2 linked regions of the Nothobranchius furzeri genome follow. The protein of the gene in region 1 interacts with the protein of each later gene in a pairwise test. Links are inferred from orthologs where the notes say so. Each region holds a gene or a part of one and is shown in the gene's direction. Other genes may lie near its edges.

Region 1 (4,004 bases):
GTGAGGATGACGATGTTGATGAGCACTTTTAAAGAAGAAAATTCATGAGTCTTTATTTCCTATGATTTTATTCTTCTCTCCAGGTTTCCAACCATCTATTTTGCTCCAGTGGGTAAAAAGGATGAGCCCATTCGATACCAGGTACCAAGTTTTAATAGTTTCAGCTTGAGTTCATCAATCTTTGAGACACATGATGTCTAATGGTTGTGGGACATCTTGATTTCAGGGCACTCGAGAGCTCAAAGACTTCCTAAAGTTCCTGAAGAGTGAGGCGAGTCATGGTCTGGTGCTGACTGGGTTTAAGGACGAACTGTGACAAAGATTCACCTACTGATCAGAACTGACTTTGATTAACAAAAAGATCAAGTCTTGTAACAGCTACACAGACATGAATGGGCAGCAAGAGCTCTGCTCCTGGTGACACACCAGAAACAACGAATCAGGACATGGTCCACCCATTTTTGTTTCTACCAATCAGATTCTTTCCATACTCCCCTCTAAAACCATGTCCTTGCTGAATAGAACTATTTATATATTTATTCATTTATAAAGCCATTTCATGTGCAATTCTTTGTTTTTTTATTCCAGAAAACTAAATGCATTTTGATATAATACCATCTGTGCAGTTTGTATTTGGTGCTGTGTTTAGTTTTTATTTATTTATTTATTTATTGACTTAATTACTTATACTTTGGCAGTCTTTGGTTATTTTGTGAGCTTTGTTATGTTGAGAAGCTCTGCTGAGATTATGTAATAAAACCATGCTTGACAACTGACTGTTAATTAAATTCTCATGAATTAATACGCCTTAATAGCTTTTGTAAAATTGTTTTCAGCCGTTGTTTTTATGATGGGATTTAAAAAGAAATTTAATTTTTAAATTATACTTCAGTGTGCCTGAGTTTGCTCAACCATTATTTCCATGCCTGTGTGTTGTAATAAAGCTTAATAATAATAGCTGGGATCAACTGAACAAACTTTGCAAGTTCCACGAGTGTTAAAACACATAAAAGTCATTTTCAATCTTCGTAAAAAAAATTTTTTTTTTTTTTTGCTAAATCGTTGTGGGTTCTATTTCTATTAGGTTTTCTCCATAAAAGGCCTATTACTAGAAGAGTTTACCTCATTCACTCTATTGGTGAATGCGCATGTCAATCAAAAATAATAGTCTTTGCTAATTGGCCGGACCTCAAGTAATGTCTTGCCCATTTTGTCTGAGCCGTCCCTCTCCTCGTGCCACCCAGAACCTTCGAGGCTAGTGCTGTTAGCGTCGTGGTCTCAAAATGCTCGGCCAGCAGGTTTTAGTGCTTAGTAAGTATCGAAATTTGTTCTTAACTATACTTTCAATAGTTAGATGTCGGTTACTTCCCGCCAGTTTCTGCAATTTAGTCAATTTTGTGACCGTTTGAACGCGGGGCAGATCGGCTGGGACACAAAGCAGCTAAGGATGCGCTAACCAACTGTTATAACTCAGCCGAGCATCAGCTTCTTCCACCGGTATTAGCATTGTTAGCCTACATGCTACTGATAGCATCCACACCCAACCGGCATCATTAGCATATTTAGCTCGTGTTCGGAAGTAGCGGAAAGCGTGTAGGTATGCTAGGCTAGGCTAGCTTAAGCTAACAGTCCTCTTACTCATCATGAGCGTGCAGTTAGACAACTGCGAACATTATATAATAATTAAAAAAGACATGAAATTACCTTTGATGCAGCTATTAAACACGATTTTGAATTAGTTTTGTGTGTGCGCTGTGACTGAACTGAACAACAAAATAAGCATCCGCTTTAATACATTCCGATTTCGATTGATCTATTTGATAGCCTGTAATTGCGAATTGACAGCATTGTTATCCTGCAAAAATCAAAATTCATTCATTCATAGTGTCTGAAATCACGAAAGCTCTATCTGTACTGGTATATTCCGTCCATTTTGTCTTTACAATTATTTTAGACTAGAATAGATAGCTCCCTCAGTGGGGGGATTTTGGTGTCACAGCAGCAATTAAATTCATTATAGGAGCTAAAAAGAAGAGTATAACATAATAAAAAAATTACGACAACAAAAAAATTATTTAAATATTCGAAACACTCATTTTATTTGGAATGCAATAAGAAAATGTTTTATTTAGCTGTATAGATATTACTAGTTTAATGATACAATCCAACAAAATTGATTTTAAATAAAGATGCAACAACTCAGTTAGTAAGGAGAATAATTTACTACAAAGGATTCTAGTCATAGATGCACTTTGGCCTACGTGACTGGTAAATCATATTCATTAATTTTGAAGCATTTTAACAGTGTTGGACATTTGTCAAAAATGATCTGTCACATATTTATACACAGCTGTTTTTATTGATTTTTTTTAATGTAATGTGTTGGTTTGTTATCGATCTGGCAGGCATGGGATTGCTAACCATACTGATAAATTACTTCTTTAAAACCAACAATTTCGAATTGCTAGTCATTTAATTGGGTCACTCGAAATAATGGCTATCTGTGTTTTGAAGCAAAAACACCCTTCAATTAGGTGACTCTGTAGTGATTTCTCTGTTTTCTTGTCTCTTTTTAGACCAGAATGTGAAGAGAGAATCAGGACGTAAAGTCCAAACTGGAAACATCAATGCAGCAAAGGTCAGTTGTTGCTGTAAAACGTTAAAGCTTGTGTTAGACAGTCTCATCTGTCTTTTGAGTGCGGAAGAAAACTGTTTAATGTTTGAGATTAGCCAATCTAGGCTGTTTTTTTGTTTTTAATATGGAGACGTTGAGTAGCTGGGAAAGAAAAGGCCAGACTAGAGTAGAAATTCCTCTTAATAGACTGAGATCAGTCTCTGAAGAGAAAAATGCTTCATTTGTTTTAAAATTGTTTTATTCCCCCAGCCCTTACATATATTGTTCTTGTGCAATCTATTTTAGACCATAGCCGATGTGATCAGGACCTGCCTCGGCCCACGGGCCATGATGAAGGTGAGTTTGTCTATACAGAGAATCACCGCACCCAGTCATTTACAAAAATAAAATAAGTCCGTAATATTCCATGTTTTCATGTCATTTTGTCTAGATGTTGCTTGACCCTACAGGAGGAATCGTAATGACAAACGATGGAAATGCCATCCTCCGAGAGGTCAGGGTCACATAAACACTTGGAAGTTTGTCACTTCATCAATTCCTTCAGTGTTTCATAACATCCTGCTTCTCCATGGCAACAGATTCAGGTACAGCATCCCGCAGCCAAGTCGATGATCGAGATCAGTCGCACACAGGATGAAGAGGTGGGAGATGGGACCACATCAGTCATCATACTGGGTATAAAAGCTTTATTTTTAATCTAAAGAAGCTCAGACTTCCCCTTTAGAGGGAATTCAGTTTGTTTTATTTAACATCCGTCATTTAATGTCTCAAATTTCAGCTGGAGAGATGTTGGCTGTAGCTGAACAGTTTCTGGAGCAGCAGATGCATCCAACAGTGATCATCAGTGCTTACAGACAGGCTCTGGAGGACATGTTGGACACACTGAAGGAAATCAGGTAGAGTCTGACAGTTTCCATCGCCTCCTTGTTACATTATAATTATTTTTGATTTGTTGTAAGCCAACCAAACAGCAGCTTAGAAATAACATTACACATTTATGAATGAGTTAATTTTGTGAAACTTGTACAGGAAGTTTGACTGAATATTGTTGTCCTCCTCCAGCATCCCCGTGGACACTTCAGACCGCTCCATGATGCTGAAGATTGTTCACTCTGCCATCAACACCAAAGCTCTGAGCCGCTGGTCGGAGCTGGCCTGCAACATCGCGCTGGACGCCGTTCGTACGGTGGAGCTGGAAGAGAACGGGCGCAAAGAGATTGACATCAAGAAGTACGCCAAAGTAGAGAAGGTACGACTGTTGCTCATTACACCTGATCACTTTAGGTTAGAACAGAAGATCAAGTGTTTCCTGCATTAATTGCATTCATTCTTTTGTCTCACATCTCCCGTGTTGTGTTCAGGTTCCAGG
Region 2 (4,074 bases), on another chromosome or scaffold:
CAGTGCATTCATTTCTACTGAGGAAGGTGCTTATCCAACTTGAAATCACATTTTATCAAGCTTTTTTCACGAAATCAGACACATGGTATGGTATAATAATTAAAAGTAGATGAAATAAATTAAGATATAAAATTCCATCAGGTAGGCTAGAAAGGTCCATAGTAATCCCATGTGATCTGTTTTCAATAGTACGCCAGTTGTTGCAATCATAGATATGTATATAAACACATGACAAACACACGATTCATGACAGAATAAAAGAAAGTCAATAAATAGGTCGAGAAATAGTGAAAATACAAAATAATTAGCTGGGTTACATTTTATTGCTGGCGGCCCATTCTAGCTGACCGATGTAATTTGGATGTTGGTTGTCTTATTTTTTGGGGTGCACATTTTGCATATGTGTTCTGTTTATGTGGGCTTACCTCAAAATAATCTTGAAACATCTCTAAACAAAACCTATTTCACAGAACAGGAATAGATTAAGGCTAAATTATGTATGTATATATATATATATATATATATATATATATATATATATATATATATATATATATTGCTGGCTACCTGTCCAGGGTGTACCCCTCCTGTATGCCCGTTGACTGCTGGAGATAGGCTCCAGTGCCAATACAAAAAAATAAAAAAATAAATCCCCAAACACAGCCATTTGGACAAAAAATAATTGGCTGTCGTAAAATCGTTATTGGTTTTGTAAAACCAAATAAATTACTTATTGTGGTCTCAACCTGAATAACACGCAAATAGCCTATAGGTGGGGCACATGGTTCACAATTAAGTCACTTTCAAAAGCAAAACCGTTTATTTTAACATTTGCAAGTATGTTATCTCAAGCCTATGTGTTCTAAGGTTTGTATCAAGGCAAATCGCTTGTAAATGTGTTAATATTTAATCGAGTAAAGATTGTTTTACATCAAGCTGATCGCTCACCTTCCAGCTGCTACCATTGAGAGCAGAGGTCTGTTGTCTGGGGTAAGATGGCCGCCGTTTAGCTACGCCCTCAACTCTCGCTTTCACCAACTAGTGTTTATATCATGTATATGTCGATGGTTTATATACACATAGCTATGGTAGGCTGGAAAAAACGGGCAAATTTGTCCACTCTGCATTGACTTTGGACAGTAAGGAGACCCATCCAATATGGCGGCGACACAGTGACGCTCTCCAGCGCCGGGTGTCTACATGTCTATGCGCATCACCCCCACATGGGGGCGCTCTAACCCGCTGCATGGTTTCAGTTTGATGAACGAAGAGGAAGTCGACGACAGCGCCTGATGTCATCACGCAGAACGTGTAGCACTGAAGCAACATGGCTTTGAATGGAGGTATGTGAACTTAACTGTTATTTCCTTGCTAACTTTGCCGTTTCACTGTGTGTTTTAGTGTCTTACGTCGTTTGGCACTCATTTAAGCGGTGATTTCTGCGGTATTTTTATTTTTATTGTAATATTTTTCATCGCCACCGGGGAAAGTGTTATCTCCACGATAACAGCGTTGTATTTCTGGCTAACTTGTCATTTCCTGACCCCTTTTGATAAAAATTCAGCCAAACAACGAGAAAATAAATCACCACGCGTAAATATTAAAGCTGTGTTTCTGGTTGTGTAGCTTTGCACTGGTGCGATTCAGTTAATTTACTCCGTTGTTGCTGACCTGCAGATGAAGAGGACTTTGAGTGGGAACCTCCATGTGAGGCGGAGATGAAGGTGATCCAAGCTCGAAGGGAACGGCAAGATAAAATCAGCAAGCTGATGGGAGACTACCTTCTAAAAGGCTACAAGATGCTGGGGGAGTGCTGCGATGCTTGCGGGGTGAGTTCAGGCCCGAGGCGGTTCTGGGGTGGGTCCAGGGTGGGCCAGTGCCACCCTGACAGCAATCTTGCACCTCTCTGTGGCCTCCCTGCTGAGGACAGAGCCTAAGCATTAATAAGGAATTTATCTTTTGTTTTATGAAAGTATTTTTGCAAAATGTTTACTTACTGACTTATTCAAATTACCTTAAGAGAACTGCGGTTATCATTTTGTTGTAATGACACACTAAAAAAGGTAAAAGCAAATCTTCAAAACAAGCTAAGCTTAAACTCAAACACTGTCAAGGAACGCTCACCCCTCCCATCAGCGATTGTCCTTGGCCGGAAACAGGAACCTGCATTGCCAGAGGAAAAGAGATGGCGCTAAACACCGGTCACTGTTTTCTAGGTCCAAACATCTTTTGTTGACTGACTTCAAGTGGTGTTTTTTTGTTCTTTTTGGGCCTCTGGTAGTTTGTCCTGAAGTTGAAGTAGTAACAAATATTATAAAACATAATTATGGCTATATAAGTGATTGTGTGTATTCGTGTGTGTGTTTTCAGACTATTCTTCTACAGGACAAGCAGCAGAAGAACTACTGTGTCTCGTGTCAGGAGCTGGACTCTGATATCGACAAAGATAACCCTGGTGAGCGCCAGTTGTGTCTGCTCTCCCCTGATTTTGGAGCTCATTAGGCCCTAAAAAAGGGCAGCTGGTTCCTCTGTGGTGTCTTTAGGATTTAATCTCTCCAGTTCATATTTCAGTCCCACCTCTTTGTTCCGTTTTCCAGCTCTGAATGCTCAGGCTGCATTGTCTCAGGTGAGAGAGCAGCAGCTTGCAGCTCAGTCCCCTCCACCGACCCAAGCCTCTCAACTCAACGAGACACCCTGCAGCAGCAGTCAGGCAGGGGTGACGGTTCCTCAACCCCGACCAGAGCACTGTGAGGGCGCTGCTGCTGGAGGAAGAGCCCTCCTGCCTCCACCTCCCGCCCCATCTCCTTCAGCTCCTGTCTCCAGCCCAAGCGTAGCTCCCATTCGTACCCCTGTCAGTCCGCAGAGCGCCGCTCTACGACCTGTGCTGCAGGAAGCCGAGGAAGCAGTTCTTACTAAACTTCGCTGGGCCACTACCCAGTTACAGAGTTCATCCTCACTTGAGGCAAGCATCCAGCTCTGCAGCCTCATCACCAGCTGCGCCAGCTCACTGCGCAGCCTCAAGGAGCTCAGCCAGTAACCACAGGAGACTGGTTGACTCTACGGAGTGACGGGAATATCTTTTCTTGTTCTGGCTGCTGTAGGGTACAAACTTTGGGTCGGCTTTATCTCTCTGCCTAATTCTTTGCTTAAAGCTCAAATTAAATGGAAATTGGATCACAATTCAAATGTGCTCAAGTTCCTCTTGAAAAAGTGTAGGTGTGCCGATGGTAGAAGTATGTTGCTTTTGTCAAACTGTAAATTATGAGTACAAACATTCATCAGTTGTCAAAGCAGATCGACTTTCTTTAGTTGTCTTTGATCGTTTGATGAGTAAAAAAGGTTTGATGTAAATAACATAGTGTGTCTGTGAGGACATTTTGTAGTTCAAATTTTAAATTGAGACTCAGAATCTTCATTTTCATATTTAATCTAGAACATACACACCTTTCCCGCTGTACATTATTAGGACTTAATATTTGAAAAAATTAGTGATCCGTTTTCTAATTATGTGACTTAGAATAAATTCAGTTCTGCTCTGTAGATGATCATTTTGTCCACCAGAGGGCGCCGGTTTACATGCTAGCACATAGGTGGTTAAATAAAAAGTTTATTCTCAAATGTGCAACTTTCATGTAAATCCTTCGTTTTAACTCGCTAATCTGAAGCCTTTTGGAAACTGACAGTTTTTCTTATATAAAGTGTTTGTGATGAAGCTGTTGAATTATTTCACTGCCATTTTGTGTTTGGACTACATGACATGTCCTAATTTAAACAGAAACAAGATAAAAAACGTGTGAACTGATCAAATTGAGCAAATCTAGTAGAAAAAAAATAAATAAATGTAGTGATCAAATCGGCTATATCCAGTCCAGAAAATATATTACTGTTGCGTTTTAAACCATCAGGCTTTGTTCAGAAACCACCTAAGTAACTGGCTAGTGTCTTCATTAATCTGACATAAGGATTAATTAGCTGCATCAGGAAGGTTTTGAAGGCAGACATTAATGCATTGTGTCTCATTAGGGGACCACCGGTGAATGCCCCCATCTGCACAAAGAGCAGCATTTATTTATT

Evidence for each region.
Region 2: the proteins of cct3 (region 1) and znrd2 interact in binary tests that used the Homo sapiens proteins (3 or more experiments, as listed by UniProt). The two-hybrid records come from large-scale screens. The link is inferred for Nothobranchius furzeri from reciprocal best matches to the Homo sapiens genes CCT3 and ZNRD2.

What each region holds. Positions count from the first base shown.
Region 1 is NC_091759.1:9,430,868-9,434,871, reverse strand, and holds the start of cct3 (T-complex protein 1 subunit gamma), read left to right. Parts: upstream 1-1,180; 5' UTR 1,181-1,283; coding exon 1,284-1,311; intron 1,312-2,576; coding exon 2,577-2,638; intron 2,639-2,920; coding exon 2,921-2,971; intron 2,972-3,065; coding exon 3,066-3,128; intron 3,129-3,213; coding exon 3,214-3,310; intron 3,311-3,413; coding exon 3,414-3,531; intron 3,532-3,697; coding exon 3,698-3,884; intron 3,885-3,996; coding exon 3,997-4,004. Other genes in the region: pdia8 (protein disulfide-isomerase A3), read left to right, coding at 84-141, 227-316. UniProt on the Homo sapiens protein: Component of the chaperonin-containing T-complex (TRiC), a molecular chaperone complex that assists the folding of actin, tubulin and other proteins upon ATP hydrolysis.
Region 2 is NC_091750.1:56,222,055-56,226,128, reverse strand, and holds znrd2 (protein ZNRD2), read left to right. Parts: upstream 1-1,248; 5' UTR 1,249-1,327; coding exon 1,328-1,343; intron 1,344-1,677; coding exon 1,678-1,829; intron 1,830-2,370; coding exon 2,371-2,455; intron 2,456-2,597; coding exon 2,598-3,037; 3' UTR 3,038-3,326; coding exon of another isoform or gene 3,327-3,339; 3' UTR 3,340-3,712; downstream 3,713-4,074. Other genes in the region: leucine repeat adapter protein 25-like, read left to right, coding at 3,327-3,339, 3,963-4,074. UniProt on the Homo sapiens protein: Might play a role in mitosis. Antigenic molecule. Could be a centromere-associated protein. May induce anti-centromere antibodies.